Linked DNA regions of Cricetulus griseus. The protein of the gene in region 3 purifies or fractionates together with the protein of the main gene of each other region. This does not show direct contact. Links are inferred from orthologs where the notes say so. Each region holds a gene or a part of one and is shown on either strand. Other genes may lie near its edges.

The links.
Region 1: the proteins of Ppme1 (region 3) and Ppp2r2a purify together in Homo sapiens (affinity purification with mass spectrometry; 3 studies listed by BioGRID and IntAct, with this or other methods). This does not show direct contact. The link is inferred for Cricetulus griseus from reciprocal best matches to the Homo sapiens genes PPME1 and PPP2R2A.
Region 2: the proteins of Ppme1 (region 3) and Ppp4r2 purify together in Homo sapiens (affinity purification with mass spectrometry; 3 studies listed by BioGRID and IntAct, counting the BioPlex papers as one, with this or other methods). This does not show direct contact. The link is inferred for Cricetulus griseus from reciprocal best matches to the Homo sapiens genes PPME1 and PPP4R2.
Region 4: the proteins of Ppme1 (region 3) and Ppp2cb purify together in Homo sapiens (affinity purification with mass spectrometry; 6 studies listed by BioGRID and IntAct, counting the BioPlex papers as one, with this or other methods). This does not show direct contact. The link is inferred for Cricetulus griseus from reciprocal best matches to the Homo sapiens genes PPME1 and PPP2CB.

Annotation. Positions count from the first base shown.
Region 1 is NW_023276807.1:222,050,312-222,056,111, forward strand, and holds the start of Ppp2r2a (serine/threonine-protein phosphatase 2A 55 kDa regulatory subunit B alpha isoform), read right to left. Parts: upstream 3,611-5,800; 5' UTR 3,308-3,610; coding exon 3,301-3,307; intron 1,583-3,300; coding exon 1,508-1,582; intron 1-1,507. UniProt on the Homo sapiens protein: Substrate-recognition subunit of protein phosphatase 2A (PP2A) that plays a key role in cell cycle by controlling mitosis entry and exit. Involved in chromosome clustering during late mitosis by mediating dephosphorylation of MKI67.
Region 2 is NC_048601.1:43,126,450-43,131,543, forward strand, and holds part of Ppp4r2 (serine/threonine-protein phosphatase 4 regulatory subunit 2), read right to left. Parts: intron 1,127-5,094; coding exon 956-1,126; intron 1-955. UniProt on the Homo sapiens protein: Regulatory subunit of serine/threonine-protein phosphatase 4 (PP4). May regulate the activity of PPP4C at centrosomal microtubule organizing centers.
Region 3 is NC_048596.1:99,184,424-99,189,517, reverse strand, and holds part of Ppme1 (protein phosphatase methylesterase 1), read right to left. Parts: intron 1,539-5,094; coding exon 1,384-1,538; intron 1-1,383. UniProt on the Homo sapiens protein: Demethylates proteins that have been reversibly carboxymethylated. Demethylates PPP2CB (in vitro) and PPP2CA. Binding to PPP2CA displaces the manganese ion and inactivates the enzyme.
Region 4 is NW_023276807.1:51,188,191-51,193,947, reverse strand, and holds the start of Ppp2cb (serine/threonine-protein phosphatase 2A catalytic subunit beta isoform), read left to right. Parts: upstream 1-2,196; 5' UTR 2,197-2,255; coding exon 2,256-2,357; intron 2,358-5,757.

The DNA.
Region 1 (5,800 bases), on a different chromosome or scaffold from region 3:
CCTACTACTCAACAGGTAATGGAGTTACAAAATCAGTAATACACGACACCTCCCTTGAAGGTAGGATTTATTTCTTTAAACGAGTTCAACAGAAAACCAGCACACACTGATTTTGTGACCATTGCTGAGTCACTCTCAAATTCTTTAATTCTTCCAAGTTTCTGGTTTCTTGCGTGAAAAAGGGATGAGCACCCACCAGAAAAACAAGGGTGGGGAATCTATAAAATATGACAACTACACCAGTGACTTCCAATAGGACTCACCACACTGAGCACACATCAGTGACAAATGTCACCACACAAACATCTAGTTAGTCAACAATCTTTGCCCTACCACTACCTGAAAAAAAATCATCACAACAGCACTCTGTGGTTGGGAGGAGGCACCCCAACCTCACCAGGGAAAGGTGCACTCTAGAGAAAGGGTCATACATTTTCAGACAACCTTCTGAAAACCAGAAGTCTGCTGTAATTTGTCTGACTTCTATTAAGAAAAATCCCACTATTCTGCTGGGGAAACTCTTCTTGAGTTCAAGGCCAGCCAGGGATTGTCTCAGTGCGTGCGTGCGTGCGTGCGTGCATGCGCATGTCTCTCTCTCTCTCACACACACATACACACACACACACACACACACACCACACACACACACACACACACACACACACACACACACACACACACACACACACCCCCCCAATCCCAGGGATTGTCTCAGTGCGTGCGTGCGTGCGTGCGTGCATGCGCATGTCTCTCTCTCTCTCATACACACACATACACACACACACACACACACACACACACACACACACACACACACACACCCCAATCCCACAAACCTGCAGTATTTCTGAACAAAGAAATAATGTAACCATCCTTTTGGAGATTATCTGTCTCTAACAAAAAAGATTGTCTCAGAATGAGTACAAGGCCTTCACATTCCAAAACTTCAGAGAAGTTCTAAAATAAATTAGCAAGGTTCTATCTCAAAAAGTCCCCTAGAAAAGTGATTTATTATTATATCTTAACTGCACATATGAATCCCTGAAAGATAATATAAAGTGAATAATTTGAGCCAGCATTTTTTCAGCAAACATGTTAACCAATACTACAGTCACAAAGTAGTTAAGTTCAAAAGAACTTAAGTCTCCTCATAGAATAAAAGATTTCTGAGCTAAGTGTTCTTGGCATCTATTCCTGCTTAATTATCTAAAGACAAAACACAAACATCCAAGTCCAGTTATTTGCATGTAGAATGTATGTAACAAGGAAACCTCAATTACAGGAACCTCAGAGCACTTACTGCTCACCATTTACTTCATTAACTCAATGAAAAAATAAAACAAGACAGAAAAAGAGATGTAAAGACTTTTTCAGAAAGATGATTTTTAAAACTATTGTCCCACCTCTTGGACAACACAAAACATTCTTCAAGGCTCAGTTTAGTTCGTGTTCCTTCAGTACACAGAACTTAAGTCAACACTCAGTTGTCATGGTTAAACTTTCTTACCTTCTGCTACATCATCATCTACTGCTCCTTTCACCTGAGAAAAACACCATTGAATATCATTCCCTCCTCCAGCTCCTAGAAGAAGAAAACATAGCAATTAAAACGGAGTTCTGTTCTGTTTACTCTCATAAACACGGAGATGGTATCTGAGACTAGCATGATACTACCCACATACACAGTCACCACTGAGCCCACGAATTTGGAACCAAATAAGTTCTGACAGCTGGTAGAGCATTCAAAACAAGACTGCAGGTATGAAATATTCAAAGGCATACAGTCTATCAATCATTATCATCGTAAAGATATTCAAAACCTCATTTCCACTTTCCCTGCCCCTTGAAGACAAAGCCTTTCACGTAAGACCTACCAGAAACCAAAGTAAATACCCAAAGTTAGTTTTCCTTTAAATGTGCAAAGGGCTAAACTACCATGAAATATAGAACGAAGAGAAAACTTCGGGAACATTACTTCCTGAGAGGAGGAGTGATTCATGTGAGCCCTACCACCGAAGCATGGACACAGCAAACACAACACCCATTTCTTTGCATTCATTAGGCGCAAATCACTGGCTGCAGACACAGGAAAAGGGGTGGCAATGAATGCCTGGTCAAAGGATGGTCAAAGGATGCTGACTCTGCCTCCTTTCACCTAACCAGAGAACCCAAAGGGCCCAGAAAGAGCAACTTTGCTAATATGTCATCTCCTACAAAACAGTTCCAATTATCATTTCATTGTTCGGCAAGGTCAAAGGGCAGTTTGTTTGTATAGTAAATGGTAAATCAGCCCAACATAACTTCTTTAGAAGTCCTATTATCTATGCAAATATGGAAAAGACAAGGAAAACTGGTTTAATCTCAGACACTGCCCGGGACTGAAAAGGAAATTGGGGGGGGGGGGTGGCACGACACTCCTGGATTTCTGGGAAAGAAACTGAATCTCAATCTAGAATTACTCTACTAGCAGAAGGGCTTCAAGATCAAAATGTACAAAGATAACCGACTCTCAAAGGCTATTAACCCTCGCTTTTCCTTTACCTGTTCCTTGCTAAATTATTCTCAATCAGGGTTTCTCCGTGCTTTTCCCCCACTGCAAGCTTTTATGAAATCTCTCTCTCCTCTTTCTCTCTCTATTTATATCACTGAACTCCACAACTATTTTAACTCCGAGAAACCCTTCTGGGAAAAGGACATCTGCACGAACGATAGCGTGCAAAATGCAAAGTTTAAATTACCTGTTTCTCCCCACCTCCCACCCCAACCCTTAACAACTTCTATTAAAGGCCTAGCACTCGTGGTGACAACGACTAAGTCATGGGAGGGAGCACAGTCGCCACGAAATTCAGGCTTACACCCTCAAAATCTGACCTAGCCATAACGTGTGTGTGTGGGGGGGGGGGACATATGCCTCCATTGTATTTTAACTTGCAAAGCGCTCTTCCTTATCCGTGCAGGATATGTTTCTGCAGGAAGGCTCGCAGCAGACGAGGAAGAGTGGAATGACTATGTGCGGAGGAGCGGAGGGAGCAGGGTGCAGAGGGGACCCATCTGCACGCCGGCACCCGCCCCACCCACGCAGGCCCCCACCCCCACCGCACCCGTGCCCGAGCCCGTGCCAGGCCCAGGGCCCTGCCTGCAGGCCCCACCATCCCAGCCCAGTGCCAGGCCCGCCCGCCCGCCCCGCACTCGGCCAGCGCCCCAGGCCAAGGCCCCTCCGCCACGGTCGCTAGGGGGTGACGGAGAGCGCGCAGAGGAAGCGGCACCCTGTCAGCCGGCCGAGGGCCGTTTCTCCTTTACCTGCCATGTCGTGCAGCAAATGATGACCCTGCCGGGCTCCTCGGGGTCTCCGCGACCGGGGCTCAGCCCCCTCACCTGGGGATGGGGGGATCGAGGGCGCGGATGGAGGCGGATGGCACCTGAAGGGGGAGGGGACGGGAATCGGGGCGGAAGGGAAGCGGCTCAGGCGGAGCGGCCGGCAGGATAGAAGCTTTCACTCGGGGGCGTCCCCTCTCGTGATCCTTCTCCCCGGTGGGCAGCGGCGCGGCGGCGGCGGCGGCGGCGGCGGCGGCTACGACAGCGACGGCGGCCCGGCGGCAGGGGCAGGCGACTCCACTTTCAAAATGGCGCCCGCTGGCTGGCCGGTGACGTCACTCCAGGGGGCGGAGCGCCTTTGGGGTGGGTCGCGCTGTGTTGGTCACGCCTCCTTCCTGCCCGGCTCTCGCTCCGCCCCGCCCGCTGTGACCCTGCTCTGAGCTCTGCACCGAACTGGGGCAGTGGTTAGTTGCTCTGGCTGTGGACTATGCCAAGTTGGCCCACAGTGCCCAAGTGGGCCGGCAGCTTGGCCTGTCTGCACCTCACACTGTCCCAAAGCCTTGCACCAGGGCCGGGACTCCAGGATGGTCTCATCTGTCTACTTCTCACCCACAGGGTGAGCTGGCTCTCCCTGGAGAAGACCCTTTAGATGCTCCAGCGACACTGGGTGAGCCCCAGGGACACCAAAATAAAGGGACAGTGATGCATACTCGTTGCCTGTCCAAGGTGAGAGTTCACAGAGCCCAGAAAGACACAACTGGGCTGGTTCCATCTGGGTGAAGTAGGTTACCTTCCCATGGATGAGAGTTCTTGGCTACCGCAAACAGTTAAGAATGGCTCCCGACAGAAAGTTAAATGTGTTGTGAATGGCACAAAAAAAAAGTGACTCAGGTCTGTTCAGATAAAAGTGGTAAAATCAATGATTGAGAATCTATATTCTGCTGGCTGTGGTGACACATGCCTACAATCTCAGCAGCACTTTGTGAGGTGAATGTAAGAGGCTCCAAATTTTAAGGATACCTGAACTATATAATGAGTTTGAGGCTAGCCTGGGCTACCTATATGAGACCCTGTCTCACATACACACATCAAACAAAAAAGGAGAAGAAACTAAATCTATTTAAATGTAGCCTCTTCCAGTCAGACTTTTCTGACAGTTTCTTCCATTTCCGGCTCACCTTTAGCTAGGTTGGGTGCCCTTGTTTAATAGTGTCAAGGTAGTAGTGGTGATGCAGTCCTTTAATCACAGTACTCAAGAGGCAGAGGCAGCTGAATCCCTGTCTGAGGCCAGCCTGATCTACAGAGCTAGTTCCAGGACAGCCAAGGCTACACAGAGAAACCTTCTCTTGGGGGGTGCGGGTGGGGGTAGGAGAGATACTCTCAGGTCCAAAGGAAACTCCAAGTCTCCAAACTCCAAAAGGCAGTCCAAATATCCAGAAATGAGCTCAACCTGGACAATAGGAGGATTTCTAGCAGTTAGATAAAAGCTAGCATTCCTCAGGAACTTGTGAAGGTATTTCCCCTCTACCAAAAAAAAAAAAAAAAAAAAAAAAAAAAAAAAGAAAAAAGAAAAAAAAAAGAAAAGAAAAGAAAAGGTCATTTCCCTCATCTCTGGCAGAAAGGACATATGGCTACCTGTGGTGCCTATCAGCACATCAAAGCACATTCTGGTATCACTAGTACCTGTTACCCAATTTCAAAGTCCATGCTAGCATCCCAGCCCGTCTCACCTCCTCTCCTACTCTAAACTCCCTCCAGCTCTCAGGTTTTCCTCACCCAGATTCTCATTCTCCTTCTAACCCTGCTATTCTCACTATATACTCTATCCCCTGCTATTCTCCCCTCTCTGGCCATGTCAGTCTACTTCTTTCTCTTTCAGCTCTGGACTCTTCCAGATGCCTCTGACTTTGATCTCTCTCTCTCTCTCTCTGATATATACACACACACCTATAATAAAACCCTCCCCTTAACCATACTATGAAGTGGTCATGTTGTCAGTTTATATAGTCTCATAAAGTATAATGCACTTTTCTATTTTTTTAAACCACATTAAAATGATCTCAGTCTGTGTCTGTTATTACACTGAATTCTTTGAGGCTAGGAAGTGTGTTATTCACCTCCCTATCACCAGCAACATAATTCATGAGATTAATGAATGAATAAACAAGTCTTTCTGACTTGGGAGAAAAACCATTTAAATGCTGCCTCCTTAAGGTTTGTAAATTTTTTCACTCATCTTTTTTTAATTTTTAAAAATTAATTTTATTTTATGTGTATGAGTGTTTTGCCCGAGTGTATGTATATGCACCATGTGCATGCCTGGTGCCCTCAGAAGTCAGAAGACAGTGTCAGATCCCCCCGGACCTGGAGTTACAGATAGTTGTGAACTTCCATATGGATGCTGAGAATCAAACCCGTTCCTCTTCAGAAGAAGCAAGAACTCTTAACTGTTGAGCCAACTCTCACTCTTCTTAACTCTGGAAAG
Region 2 (5,094 bases), on a different chromosome or scaffold from region 3:
CAATTCACTGTATTTCATGCTGTTGTCACGTTTCAAATTACTAGTGCCAAATGCAATACTCAACAACTCAACTTCACAAACCCATCATTCCTTCAGTAAGTTCTAAACAAGAATTTAATGAATACTAGGAAGCACAGCAACATTTTTAAAGTATCATATTCATTTAGTGTTCCTCGTGTTTTCAGTGTTTTACAAAAGATTAAAAACATTTAGCTATTGGGAGAAAGGGTGAAGCAAACTCTAAAATAAATGAACCTCTTGAGTACAAATAAGTCTTCACCAAATATCAAGATAATACCAAGAAAACATTAAAATATTTCTTAATAAACGAAATGTTGCTATCTTGATAAATGCATGTATAAAGTATAAAGTATGAATACCCCTGAAACTCATAAAATCAGTCAATTTTTTTTCAATGATGATTATAAACATTTAAAATACTTTTGAGCCAAGCTGGGCAGTGGTGGTGCACACCTTTGATCCCAGCACTTGGGAAGCAGAGGCAGATGGATCTCTGTGAGTTTGAAGCCAGTCTTGTCTACAGATCGAGTTCCAAGACAGCCTCCAACAAACAAAAAACAAAACAACAAAAAACGGGAGGGGAGGAGATTTATGAGCCAAAATTTGGCAAACACACCTGGGTGGTGGTGGTATAGGTCTATAATCCCAGCACTTGGGAGGCAGAGGCAGGTGGATCTTTGAGTTCGAGGCCGGCCTTATCTACAAATTAAATTCCAACACAGCCAGAGCTGTTACAGAGAACCCCCCCAAAAAAACACTAGAGATACAAGAGTCAATTACCAACCAGATATAACAAAAATTAAAGAAATAACATCTATGTGGTTAAATTTAAATCTTTAAGTTGTTGTTGTTGTTGTTGTTGTTATTATTATGTGCATACCCATTATTATTATTATTATTATTATTATTATTATTATTATTATTATGTGCATACCCATTAAATCCAGTGACAATTTTCAGTATTCTTTCCTTCATTTCATCAAAGGGAATATATTCAACATTTGGATTGGGAGGACCTCTTGGTTCAGGAGCTGAAGTTCTGAAATCATCCATCACTTTCTCCAGTTTGAAAATAAAATAACCTTTAAATTGGGACCACTGAATCCTATAAAGAAAAAAAGTCAGAAAATATTAACAATTACCCTTGCAAATACTTAACACTAAATACAGACACTATAAAGATGCTCATGATTTCCATGCTATAATGCTTACACAGACTAGGAAAGTTTCCCACCATTAGAAGTATAAAATAAGCCACATCCAACACCTGAGAGATGAAGTGTCTTAGGGTTTCTATTATTGTGAAGAGACACCATGACCACAGCAACTCTTATAAAGGAAAATATTTAATTGTGGTAGCTTATTTATAGTTTAGTATATTATCATCATGGCAGGAAACAATGGTGCTGGAGAAGGAGCCCAGAGTTCTTACATCTTGGCCCACGGGCAATAGGAACTGGTCTGGGACACTGGGTATGACTTAAGCATACATAAGGCCTCAAAGCCTGTCTCCACAGTGACACACTTCCTCCAGCAAGACCACACCCAATCCAACAAGACCATTTCTCCTTATAATGCCACTTCCTATGAGCTTAAGGGAGCAAATTACATTCAATCTACCACACTAAGGCAGGAAGATCTCTGAGAGTTTAAGGTCAGTCCTGTCTACAAAGTAAGCTCTAGGCCAATCCACACAGTGGATTGGGGGGGGGGCTCCCCGCAGGACCAAACCCCGCCCCCCCCAAAAAAAACAACGAAGTTCTTTTTTTCCTGCCTTTTCAGTCACTGTCATGTGAGGTATTCACGGTACTGGTCCCAGTCTATCTGACATAGTAATAAAGTACACAAGCTACAAAGATGGCTCAATGTTTAAGGCACGCACATCTCCAGCATAAGGACAAACAAGAGTATGGATCCCCAGAATGAAGTACTAGGTAGAATCAGTGGCCTGTCTATAATTCTAGCACTTAGAAGGCAAACTGAGGCTGGGCATTGGTGGCGCACGCCTTTAATCCCAGCACTCGGGAGGCAGAGGCAGGCGAATCTCTGTTGAGTTCGAGGCCAGCTTGGTCTCCAGAGCGAGTGCCAGGATAGGCTACAAAGCAACACAGAGAAACCCTGTCTCAAAAAAAAGAAGGCAAAGATGGAAATCCCTGAAGCTGTCTGGCCAGCCAAACAAGCTGTACCAGCAAGCTCTGGGTTCAACAAAAGACTTGACCCCACTCAACAAATTATGGTGGAAAAAGAATTCCAACAGCATCCTTTGACTACAAAGATGAAAACACACACACACACACTAACATATAGACATGCACACATGAATGAGACAAAATATACAAGTAACCTATTTTTTATGTCTATTCACTGATGGGTAGTAATTTCCTCCAAAATAAAACACTAACACTGACCAGCTCACTACAACCCATCTTCCCCAAGCTCATATAAGCAGTAAGAACTGATGACTTTGTAAGTGTATAGATGTTGTCTGAAAGCTTGTATGTGAACCCCCTGGGTGCCTGCTGCCCAAGGAGGCCACAAGAGTGTGTCAGATCTCCTGAAACTGGAGTTGCAAGCAATTGTGAGGTGCCACATCGGTGCTGGGAATCAAAACCCAGGTACTCTAAAAGAACAACAGCAAGTGCTCTTAACCCCAAACACTCTTATACAAGCTGAGTAACCCAGAAGACGCCCAGATCAGCTCTGCTGCCTAAAAGATACATTCTCTGACCTGATCAGCTGGCTAAAAGTGGCAGAGTGTGTTCCATATTTCCAGGTTTTGTATCTTGCCAGGTATGCTGGGGTTGACTTTTAATGATAAAACTGCCTTAGAGTCACTTCTGCTCTTGTAATTAACACTTTATCCATACTCCTTTAAGTTAACACTAGTATAGGCTTGAATAGGAATGACCCCCATAGGCTCTGAATTTATGTGGTCATTAGGGAGTGGCATTACTTGACAGGGATTAGGAAGTGTGGATTTGTTGGAGAAGTATGTCACTGGGGGTGGGCTTTGGGGTTTCAAACACTCAAGCCAAGCCCAGTGTCTCTCTCTTCCTGCTGTCTGTGGGTCATGATATAGACGAACTCTCAGTTCCTTCTCCAGCACCCTGTCTGCCTGCTTCCTGCCAAGCTGATAATGGACTAAACCTCTAAACCATTGTAGATCAGGCTGGGTTTCGAACCCATAGAGATCTACCTGCCTCTGCCTCTAAACCAGCAGTTCTCAACCTGTGGGTTGAGACCCCTTTGGGGGAGGGGGTTCAAACAACACTTTCATAGGAATGGCCTAAGACCACTAGAGGATACAGATATTCACATTATGATTTACAACAGTAGCAAAATTAGAATTATAAAATAGCAATGAAAATAAGTTTATGGTTGGAGTGCCCACAACATGAGCACACATTAAGAAGGTTGTGAACCAGCCGGGTGGTGGTGGCGCACGCCTTTAATCCCAGCACTCAGTAGGCAGAGGCAGGCGGATCTCTGTAAGCTCAAAACAAGCCTGGTCTACAAGAGCTAGTTCCAGGACAGCCTCCAAAGCCACAGAGAAACCCTGTCTCCAAAAACCAAAAAAAGAAAAAAAAAGAAAAAAAAAAAGGTCATGAACCACTACCTAAAATGTAAGCAAGTCCTAAAATTAAAATCCTTCCTTTAAGAGTTACTGTGGTCATGGTGTCTCTTCAGAGACACTGAACATTTGACTAAAACAACCAGTAAGTATAAACTGAGCCAGTGCTCATGGAGGTGGACTTTGGTGATGTCCTTACTTTGGTCTGACAATGGTTCCTAATCAAAGGTGAGTAGAGGTTTGTTCATGTCTCTCTGGGAATAGTACCAGATCTTTTAATCCTTCCCTCACATTTTACCATTAATATAAGAAAAGATGTGAAGATGATACCTGAACAGTCTAAATTATACAAAAGTTAGGGATGACACCTATTTTCTTGTGCAGACAGTAATCTCACTAAATGTAATTACAGAAAAGAGTATTAATTTGCTACATGACTGTCTAGCATCCCTATAAACTAGGAGTATAGTTTCCAATTGTGATTCAGGAGATCAGACAATGCTGTATGGAAATGATGATAACCTAGCAGCAATCCAGAAGCTGCATCAAATCACACTAACATTACTATAAGAAATTCAGTTTTGTTTTGTTCTGTGCTTTAAATCTGGGGCTGGAGATGTAACACAGTTGGTAGAATGCTCACCTAGCATAGATGGTGTGCCCTGGGCTTGATCCCTAGCACTCTACAAATTGGGCATGGTAATGTAAAACTGTAATTAGAGCAGTTGTGAAATGGAGACAGATCATCAGAAATCCAAGATCAGCATGGGCTAACATGAGATAAAACCCTCCCCATCCTTTTCATTTTAACAACCCACAACCACCAAGGTCAAGAGCAGTTCAAAGGTCCTGAGGAAGTGCAAGTAGTGTCACAGACTGTAATTCCAGCTACTCAAGAGGCTGAGACTGGAGAATCACTTGAACCCAGTTCCAGATCAGCCTGTCTCAACATAACATTTCCTGAAGAAGTAGGAAGGTTCGTGATCAACAAAATTAGTTCATAGACTTTGGATATTAAATGGAAAATTCATGACAGATTTTTGTGCTGATACACAGAAACTACAGGATTGATGTAGGTTTAGAATTGTTGGCAGGGCAAAGAGCTTGCTGCTAAATCTGATGACCTGAGTTCAATCCCTGGAACCTACACTGTGGAGAACCAAACTCTTGCAAGTTGCCCTCTGATCTCCATGGGCCCTGTTACACATATGTCTATCACCCCACAGTTAATTTAAATTTTAAAAATGCCCCTTCATCACTGGCATGGAGGCCCTTGCCTGTAATCCTAGCAGAGGGACTCCTATCTCAAATATCTACAATGGGACTGCTTGGACCAGTCCTTCCAAAGGTCACAAAAAACCAAGAGACGATGCGGAAGCAGCCTGCACACCTGATACTGACTAAAAGTGATTTAACTATGGCTCCTACTTGCATCAGACAGAGGCATGTTTCGCCTCAAGATTGAGGTGTTAAAACAAAAGGGTGAGGAGATGTACTTGGCC
Region 3 (5,094 bases):
TTCATTATGGCTACATACCACATTTTCTTTATCTATTCATCTATTATGGACATCTATGCTAGTTCCATTTCCTGGCTAGTGAGAACACGGAAGTATAAACATAGATGTGTAAGTATCTCTGGGATGCTGACTTAGAGTCCTCCAGGTATATATCCAAAAAAGGTAGAGCTGGGTCACATGGTAGTTGCATTTCCAATTTTTTGAGGAACTCCCATATTGAATTACAGTGTGGCTACACAAATTTACATTCCAGTCAGTAATGAATAAGGGTCCCTCTTTCCCCATATCCTTAACAGCACATGATATCAATTGTTTTATTGATGACAAGTGTCTACTCACCCAGACTGGGGTGAATAGAGTCTCAAAACAGTTTTAATTTACACACACACACAAAATATTAATCCCCAGTATGATCTAGCTTTCGGAGATCCTTTCCCATTCTGATGGCCATCTCTTTTTCACTTTGGTGATTGTTTCTTTTCTAAACAGAAGCTTCTTAGCTTCATGGAAATCCAGAAGTTAATTTTTCAGATTATTCCTTGTGCTATTGGAGTCCTACAAACTGTTGCCTACGCCTGTATCATCAAGAGAACAATACTCATGTTTATCTTCATATTCATAATGATGGAATGGCATTGCTTACACAGGAAGAATTCTTCCTCCTCAAGGTTTATGTATTGAAGGTGTATTGACAGTTGGTTGGATAATGAAGACACTATTGACATTAACTTTATCAATATATTAATCCATTGTTGAATGCACACTGTTTGGAGGCAGGGCCGACTTAGAGGAAGCAGGTAACTGGGATAAGCTCTGGGGGAGCACAGTTTCTTCCTAGTCTCCCTCTGTGTGATGTTCTGACACACACATTCTTAAAGCAATGGACCAAAACTTCTGATATCTGACCAAAACGAATCTTTTCTCCTTTAGATTGCTTAACTGAGATATTTTGTCACAGTGGTAAAAACTAACACACTGAGTCAGCTTATGTATTTGTTCCTGGTAATGTCAGAATTCAGTGATGTTTGGGTAAAAATAAAGATCTAGCTTCACGACAGTTTCCACTATGGCTCTCAGCAATTCTTGATTCACTCCTTGTGTGGCACACCACAGTGAGTATGGCTAACTTGTTCAAGGAGCAGTGAGATTCTCGGGGTAAGTCAGAAAATTTTATTAAAAGGCATTCATATGATTAGAAATATTATACAGCCATAAAAAGGTGTTAATGGAGAGTTTCTGGTAATACAGAAAATGGTTGTATAATTTTATAAAGGCACAAAGACATAGAGGCATACTTCAAGATGAGTGAAACTGAGAACAAATATGGCCAAGGTAATAATGTACCAGGAATATCTCTTATAAATTACTGAACCCAAAACTTACCTTCCACAACATCAATCATACAGAGGCCTAAGAGGCTTGGTACCAGGTTAGCTGATGCTGTGTGAACTGCAATGGCACCACCCATGCTGTGCCCGATCAGCATGACTGGAGGAGGGAGGTCCCCGTACATAGCTTCAACCACATTGCCAACATCCCTGCAAAGAGAGAAACCTTAGAGTGCTGGAGGTAGACACCAAAAATACCTTTCTTTCTTAGTTCCTTCTTTTGGGCTGTAACTAATAGTTGTGGGAAACAGTAAAGATCTACAGACCCACCCTACAAACACATCTATATGAGCCTGCTTACATGGTTCCTGGTATCTATGCAGAGAGCCACACACCCAGTTCTCCAGATAAATGCCTGGCTAAGGACTAAGAACTCTCAATTTCTGATCTTTATATCATCATTTTATCATCCTATACATGTAGTACATTCATATAAACATATAACTGTATGTTTAACCTCAGCTTGGCATTCTGGAGAAATAATTTACTGTAAGCCTCTGTTTTCCCAAGTATGATGCAATGAAGTTTGGGGTAATAAGATGACTGTGAGCCTCAGTTTATTTATATTACGTGTGTGTGTGTGTGTGTGTGTGTGTGTGTGTGTGTGTGTGTGTGTGTGTGTACATATGGAAATCAGAGGATAATTTGCAAGAGTTACTTTGAGCAATGAGTAAGAAGTGAATGTGAAATTCTTATCCACAAGTTAAAGGACTATTCAAAAGAAAAGACTCGCCGGGCATTGGTAGCGCATGCCTTTAGTCCTAGCACTCAGTAGGCAGAGGCAGGCAGATCTCTGTGAGTTTGAGGCCAGCCTGGTCTACAGAACGAGTTCCAGGACAACCTCCAAAGCAACACAGAAAAACCCTGTCTTGAAAAACAAAACAAAACAAAAACAACAACAACAACAACAAAAAACCCTAAGCTTCCTTCAAGCAGCATTGCTTCTAAAGACAAGACACCCTGTGAAAGGTAAAGTAATATAAGTGAAAGGAAAAACTACAATTTATTCAGTGTTTCTATGATTACTGAATGTCTCTCTCAAACTCATATATTTGCAAGTTAGCACTTTATCTGTTGGAAAAACAAATAAACATTGATAAAAATTAAGCATTACTGAGGCTGGAGAGATGGCTCAGCAGTTAAGAGGACCTGCTGTTCTTCCAGAGAACCCAGGTTCAGTTCCTAACACCCACAAGCCAGCTCACAACAATTTTGCTGGGAGTTGGTGACATCTGCCTTTAATCCCAGCACTTGGCAGACACAGGTGGATCACTGAGTTTGAGGCCAGCCAGGTCTACAAAGTAAGTTCCAGGACAGCAAGAGCTGTTACAAAGAGAAACCCTGTCTTCAAAAACCAAACCAAACCAAACCAAACAAACAAACAAAAAAGCCAGAACGATAAAGATAATCAGTGTTCATTCTTACTGGCTTTTGTTCTAGTCCTACAGTAAAGGTAGGACTTACAAAAGTGACTGGGTCATAAGGGGCTTGCCTCCTGAGTGAATTAACCCTTTACAGATTAATAAGTGGATCACAGATTATAAAGAGCACTCTCCCTGACTCACAGCTGTCTCACTACGTGAAATCCTCCATCATGCTATAATTCAAGACTAGCATCAGGCTCTAGACTTCTCGGACTCTAGAACACTGAGCCTAAATAAACCAACATTCTTTATGAATCACCAAATCTGTGGTCTCAGTGATGCAGAAATGGAAGGCAAGTTCCCATCATGTACTATGAGCTTTCTGTGTCATCTAGTGTAATTCTTCAGCAACCTTGTCTAAAAGGGTCCTTACTACTATTCCACAAGGAAGAAACTCAGACATATTTACCTGTAAAAATAACCAAGTCAATTAAGCTAATTGGGTCCACCAAAATATCACTGCATTTCCACCAAAGGGAGAAAAAAAAAAAAAAACCAAAAAACCTTCTGATTTCTGCTACCACGCTTAGTATATTTAAAGCCCTTTCTTTTGGAATCTAGCACTGTGGATCCAGAGTGATTCCATGAAGTCAACCCCATGATGCTTTGGCTCAGAGACTGCTAGTAAACTTCAAAAACAAAGATGACTTAGATAAGGAACAGTCTCTGGAAAAAGTAATGTAGGAGATTTATACGGTTTCAGAAAAGTAAAACCAAGTAGTATTCCTATATATCAACAGAACAGAAAAAAAAGTATGCTCATTCCTATATAAAGATATATGTATATGCACAGACAGACATGTACTAGAGGTTCAATTAATTATTCTCAAGCTATGTATGCTATGATTATATTATTTGGACGTATCTTTTATTAAGATTTAGAACAAATATCAATGTATAAACTCCACAATAATTTGCAATTCTAACAAAATTTTAGTGGGGAAGGATAAAATTAATAAAATAAAATGTTTTGGAAGACATCAAATTCCACACCTTAAAATATGCATTAATTGAGTTAAGACACTCTCTATGAAAGTTGTTAACGTATTAAGGTAGACAAGGTCTAAAATGCATGACAACTGGGGCTATATAGATGGCTCAGTGGTTAAGAACATTGGCTGCAATGAGGCAGTGGTGGTGCATGCCTTTAATCATAGCACTGGGGAGGCAGAGCAGAGGCAGGTGGATCTCTGAGTTCAAGGTCAGCCTAGTCTACAGAGAGGGTTCCAGGACAGCCTGAGCTACACAGAGAAACCCTGTTGTGAGAAAACAAAACAGAACAGAACAGCACTGGCTGCTCTTCTAGAGGTCCTAAGTTCAATTCCCAGCAACCTCATGTGGTTGTAATCATTTATAATGGGATCTGATGCTCTGTTCTGGTGTAAAGGAATACATGTAGACAGAATGTTCATACACATAAAACCACATAAACAGAATGCATCAACAACATCATATCTAAGCTTAGGAAAAGAGTGTTTACCCAAGCTGATAACAATTGATCAATCACTTGGAATTTATTCTTATAAAAGGCAACGGTTCTTAAATGCCGTTTATAGGACTGCCTACATCAGATTCCTTTATAGGCTATTTTAAGACTATAAGCACCAGGGTTTCTCTTCCAGAAGATGCATATTCAACTTCTAGCACCTAGATGGTAGCTCACAACTGTCTGAAATCCCAGTTCTAGGACATCTGGCATCTTCCTCTGACTTTTGCAGGTACTAAGTAAATGTGGTAAAACAGCCATATTCATAAATAATAAAAATATTTTAAGTATATTGTATGTCTAGATTTAACTTTTAAAAATACCGATTCAGCAGGTCTCAGGTAGGTCCAGAGTACCTGTATTGTTTGCTAGTTCTCATGTTACCCTGGTGAGCAAACACACAGACTCTGGCATATACAATACTAAGTAGGTATTCTTCCATACTTTGACCTCACCATCCTGTGATACTAGACAATAAATGTATATAGGCAACCTTAATGTGCCTTCAAGACTTCCTGTACTCAAATACTTTTCTAAATATGAGTCCATAAAAGACACTCAGGGTCGGGCGTTGGTGGCACACACCTTCCTCGCACTCAGGAGGAAGAGGCAGGCAGATCTCTGAGTTCAAGACCAGCCTGGTCTACAGAGTGAGTTCCAGGACAGGCTCCAAAACAATATGGGGAAAAAAAAAAAAAAAAAAAAAAAGACACTCACATTCCATTCAGCTCTATCAACAGAAGGAAATGTTTCAAAAGCCTACACAAACTAAATAAGTGTTTTATGTGATGACTGG
Region 4 (5,757 bases), on a different chromosome or scaffold from region 3:
CACCTCCAACGTCCACTCACATCAATTCCAAACACTTGTTTTCAAGGACCGCCTTCCCTCACAGCCTCCACCTGTGTTTTCCCATTTCTCCTCAGGCTACATTTTCTGATCTCCAGAGATTCAGGAACTAATTCTCACTTCACTCTGAGCTTTTCAGGCTTAGGAAAAGCCTTCATCCTTTAAACCTGTGTGGTCTAAGCTCCTAAGAGACTGCAATCATTGTTAACAGAGACCTCTCTCTCTCTCTCCCTCCCTCTCTCTCTCTCTCTCTCTCTCTCTCTCTCTCTCTCTCTCTCTCTCTCTCTCTCTCTCTCCCTTCCTCCCTTCCTCCCTCCCTCTCTCTCTCTCTCCATTTCTTCAGGCAACTTCAAAGGGTTTTTCCTGGAGAGAAAGTTTAGGATTCAGTTCAGATGACATCCTTTTGATGAATTCTGCAATCATTCTCTAAAATAAGGAAATTAATATATTGCTGAACTACTGAACAGACACTTTTTACATTTCAGCTTTGAGCCAGGTGTAGTAGGAGGTGGAGACAGGAGCATTAGTTCAAGGTCAGGTCATCCCCAATCACAGAGCAAATAGCTAGCCTGGAATACAAGAAACCTTGTCTAAAAAAAAAAAAAAAAGAAAGAAAAAGAAAAAAAAAAAAAGTCAGAGTGCTTGCGTACAAGCCTTGCAACCTGAGTGTGATGCCCAGACCCCACCTAAAGCTGGAGAGAACCCACTCCACAAAGTTTTTCTCTGACTTGCAGACTTGTGCCCTGGCACAAAGGACCCCCTCATGATATTAAATATTCTATTTACACAACTGACAAAGATTGTGTTTATTTCAAGTGATGACAAATCTGCCACTTGAGGTAGTTTGGGGGTTACCCCATGCTGAGAAAGTGGCAAAACCTACTCAGGAACACGCCTTGTGATAAAGGGTGCTGTTTGCCACTTGAGTTCAGCAGAGGCTGAACACAGTTCAGACAGAGGAAGTATGGTCATTTAGCACAGTTTTACAAGGTCTCAGTGGCTAGCCCCTGCTATATAAAGAAATCACTAATTACAACCAAAGTATCAGTTACAGCAAAGAATGTCAAGCTGGAATGGCCACAGATAACTTTAGAAATCACTTTATGGGTTGGAGAGATTAGCTAGCTAAGGGGTTAAGCCTAGCCATATATATATATATATATATATATATATATATAATATATATATATATATATATATCTTTAAATGCCAGCACTAAGGAAGCAGAGGCAGGAGCATCTCTGAGACCGAGGCCAGCCTGGTCAACAGAGCGAGTTCCAGGACAGCCACAGCTATACACAGAAACTCTATATGGAAACATACAAAAAAACCAAAAAAGTTTAAAAGGTTTACTCTTGCAGAGGCTCCAAGATCCACTTCGGATCTCCCTAAGCACCCGCACACACGCGACATAGACATAAATAAATCCTTTTATAAAACATTATTTTATCTCCGGGCGGTGGTGGTGCACACCTTTAGGTAGAGGCAGGTGAATCCCTGTGAGTTCGAGGCCAGCCTGGTCTTCAGAGTTAGTTCCAGGACAGGCTCCAAAGTGATACAGAGAAACCCTGTCTCGAAAAACAAACAAGAAAGGGTCCGAGATTTGGGGCCTCGCAACTAATTAGTGCTAAGAGTAGAAACTAACTCGATACAGATCTAGTGCCTGTTCTAGGACTGTGAAATGTTGAGAGGAAAGCCCAAGCTTCCCAGCTCCCCGGCGCAGACGGGGGTCCAAGGCTAGAACCGGATTCCCAGAGGGAGGAATGGGAAGGACGCTGGCCCGGGGCCCCCGAGGACCGTTTCTCCGCCGAGCCGCGCGAGGGCGCTGCTCGTCTCCTCGTGAGCCGAGCCCGGCGGCCCCGCCCACTCGCCTTTTCCCGGCGGAAATGCCGGGGCGATGACGGAAACCCGGAGGGAGGGAAGAGAAAGAGCGAGAGAACCCGGGCCAGAGCGCGGAGAGGCCTGCGGGCGGCGGCGGCGGAGGCAGCGGGCGGACGCGGTCGGGCCGGAGCGTCCCCCGAGCCGCGCCGCGCTGCGCGCTCCGAGCCGTGTGCCCTTGGCGCCCCGGGGCGCGTGGCCGGGCCGGGCGGGGCGGGGCGGGAGCTCCCGGAGGCCGCGGCCCGCAGCTGCCCGCTGGGCTTGGGCGGGGCGCGGGCTGCGCGCTCCGCGGCTCGGTGGTCCCGCCGGGGGCCGGCGGCGGCGGCGGGGGAGGCGGCGGGGACGCGCGGCTCGCCGCCATGGACGACAAGGCGTTCACCAAGGAGCTGGACCAGTGGGTGGAGCAGCTGAACGAGTGTAAGCAGCTGAACGAGAACCAAGTGCGGACGCTGTGCGAGAAGGTAGGCGGCCCGCCGCGGAGGCGCGCGCGGGGGAAACGGGCCCTGGCCCCGCCTGGAGTGCGGAGTGGGGTGCGGGGACCTCTCCCCCCCCCCGAAGATCAGGCAGCTGCAGCCTCCTAAAGACACGGACGACTCTCCTCAAAGTCGTTAACACTGAGACTTGGTTAGCGTGGGATTGTTCGCGGGTGACGGGGGCGGGGAGGGGGGCTCCGAAAACCACGGAGTGCATGAAGCTTTTGTTTGCACACTAGTGGGCGTGATGGCAGGCGGCCCTTCAGCCGGGCTCACTTCGGTGGAGGCTGGTGGTGGCTGTGGTCTTGGTGGTGAGTGGCTCTTGGGACGGATGGTTTCTTTTTCAGGAAGAAGGCAGCAGGTGTTGAGTTTGGAATCCGTGTTTACTGGCAAAGAGAACTGGGATGTGTGCTATTTATAAGCTCCAACATTACAGAAAGTTACTTCCATTTTTACCGCGAGTAGCCCACACACACACACACACACACATCCTTAGACCTTGCAGGTGATGGATTGGGGGGGAAAAGACCTTCTTGATCGTGTTTCCGTAGCTTTCAGAAATCTGTATCCACTGATTTATTAATTGCTGGAATTTTTAAAGTCTACTTTTTCATTCCTCTTTTATATTTGGACTAAATCTCGTCCCTGTATTTTCCTGTTAAAGAGTCCCACAAAAGAGTAAAGGAGTTAATTATTTCACGCGTGAATCTATACATTTTTCTTAGAAGTCGGGATACTACTAAAGAATTTTGTCCATCTTATTTATAAACACTCTTTACTAGGGGTGGGGGGGCAATAACCCATGGAGTGTTTTTCAAGAGTTCGGTGTTGTCCAAGTCCTTTTTGTATTCAATACTTAGCCCAGGAGAGTGTCTTCAAGTAGAACTGTGGAGAAAATGGTGTTCCCCCCACCATGAAAGTGTTTGCTTCTAGCCTCAGCTAACTTTTATTTTTCTTGTGTGATAACCTATAGTTTCATAATTCTCAAAATTAACCCTTTAGATGATCTCTCTCAAGCTAGTGTCACCGAGCTGTCCAGTTTGGAAATTGGCTGAGTCAGTCAGCCTTATTGTAATTGTGACATCCAAAACTGAAGGTACAGAGCAAGAGGTGGCTGAATCAGTTCAGGGTTCCCCTTTGACTTTGTAGTAATTTTAGGATCCGTCCTTGCAGAAGGTTGTTCCACTGCTGTGAAGTGTCACGTTTGAGTCTTAAACTCTTAGGAAGCTTTCTGAATCTGCTTTTTTAAAAAAATCGTTTTTCTTTTAACCTTGGCTTCTAAAAATCTGGATTACCAGTTCGTAGCACCATGTAGTGAATTTAAGCTGACATCTTAGGCTGTGAGTGAGTTTTCTTTGCAGATGAACACTAATTCACAGAGTATCACCCATTCCTTCCTCCTCTAATGCATAGGATGGAGTTGCTTGTAGGAGAGGCTTCTTAATGCCCCTTTTCACCATCTGTGGTGTGGGGGGAGATGGGTGTGTTTTCTTTAGTCCCTAGTCCCTTTTTGTAATAGGTTTAAAGGTTTATTAATTTTTAATTATGTGTCTGCGTGCTTGGTGCTCATGTCTGAGGAATTCAGAGGCGTCAGATCTCCTGGAACTGGCTGGTGGTGAGCCACGTGATGGTGGGATCCTGGGAACTAACCGAACTCTGGTCCTCTGTAAGAGAGTACAGGTCTTACCTGCTGAGCCATCCTGTCTCAGTCAGCCTGTTGGAATTCAGTACACCCGATGCCTATCTAAGGCAGGGATGATACTTAGCTTCTTTCAGGTGGAAGATCTCAAGAGGCTCCTCATGCAGCCCCACAGTAAGTGAGCACTCAGGGAACACTAGCGAATGAGAAAGGCTATGTGCTTTTTCAGCTCGTTTCAGTTGTCACTCCACTTGGGAAAGAAATGTAAAATGGATGTGTTGAGACTTCTGGTGATTGGACTTGAAAGGAGATTTTGTGGCCCTAACCAAAACTTCGTGTTTCCTGTTACCTTCAGCACACAAACTACTGGGGTTTATAGCAATGTTATAAAATAAACAACTTTACTTCCCAGTTGGTCTTGTGGATACTCTACCTTTCCAGAGCAAGAATGTCTTGTAGGAAGGATGTAGGAGAAAGTCAGACGTGCACATCACCTACCTTTAATTCCTTTTGGCTAGTCTTTTAGTTTTTTCATGTGTGTATGTATATAATGTGTTTGTAGTGCACATGGCAGGCGGATGAGGGGTCAGAGGCCTACTGTGAGGAGAAGGTCCTCTCCTTCCACCTTATGTGAGCCCTGGGGATCGAACTGAAGTCTTCAGGTTTGGGCCTCGAGTACCTTTACCTTCTGAGCCATTTCTCGGGCTAAAAGAGTTATTAACTTTTTATGAAGAGCAGGTCTCAGGATGTAGTCCTAGCTGCCCTGGAACATTTATGTAGACCAGGCTGACCTCAAACTCTGCCTGCCTCTGCCTTCTGGGTGCTGGGATTAAAGGGGAGCACCACCACGCTTAGCCCACCAAATTTTTTTAATGATATGCTTTTTTTTATATTTTGTTTGCTGTAGCACTCTGTAGAAAGAAAGGTTTTTCCCCTAGAAATTAAATTCCTATCATAATTGAGCTTGTCTGAAATGGAAGTAACTGAAGTGGTCCTGTTAAGGCCCTGTATGGGGTAATGGCGGTCAAGCTCTTCCCACTGTCGGAGGGTAAATAGCTTCCATAGGGCCAGCACAGAAAGGTGTCTGCCTTCTGAAGTGAATGGCTGTCGCTCATCTAAATTAGCAGCCCAGAGTCTGAAGTTAATTGTGAGTCTGACTCTTCTGTGGGCAGAAATACAGCTTCTGGAACTCCTTCCTGCGATGACAGTGTGCACAGCAGCTTTTAAAGATGGTGTGCTGGAGGAGCCAGGCTGGCCCAGCCAGAACGTTCTGTGACTACAACTATATTTAACTCTCATCTTGGGAAGAGTAAAAAAAATTTTTTTGACCTGTTAAGCTTTATTTTATAACTGAAGAATGTTTGTACGATAATCCAGGGGCAAGAGGGGGGAGCTGCTTCCTGTTTTGGCAGGTACCTGTTTTAATCTTTAATCAGAAAACCTGAGGCTAGTATAGAAGTAATGTGTAAATTCTAGGGCTAGAGAGATAGCTCCCAGTTAAAGGCTAGGCTCACAACCAAAAGTGTAAGAAATACATGTGAACTCTATGTTGGATTGATGGTGTGTTTCATAGCTTGGCTTCAAAGCCTCCTAATCGGACACTGAAAATTTAAGTTCATACTGTGAAAGAGCACACACCTCTAAAGTGGAAGAGCAGATCATTGTAGAAAGAGCATGTCAGTTGAGATACTCCATTACTCTCTGTGCTAGATACAACTTTAAACAAAAATAAATGTGCTTTTAACGGGG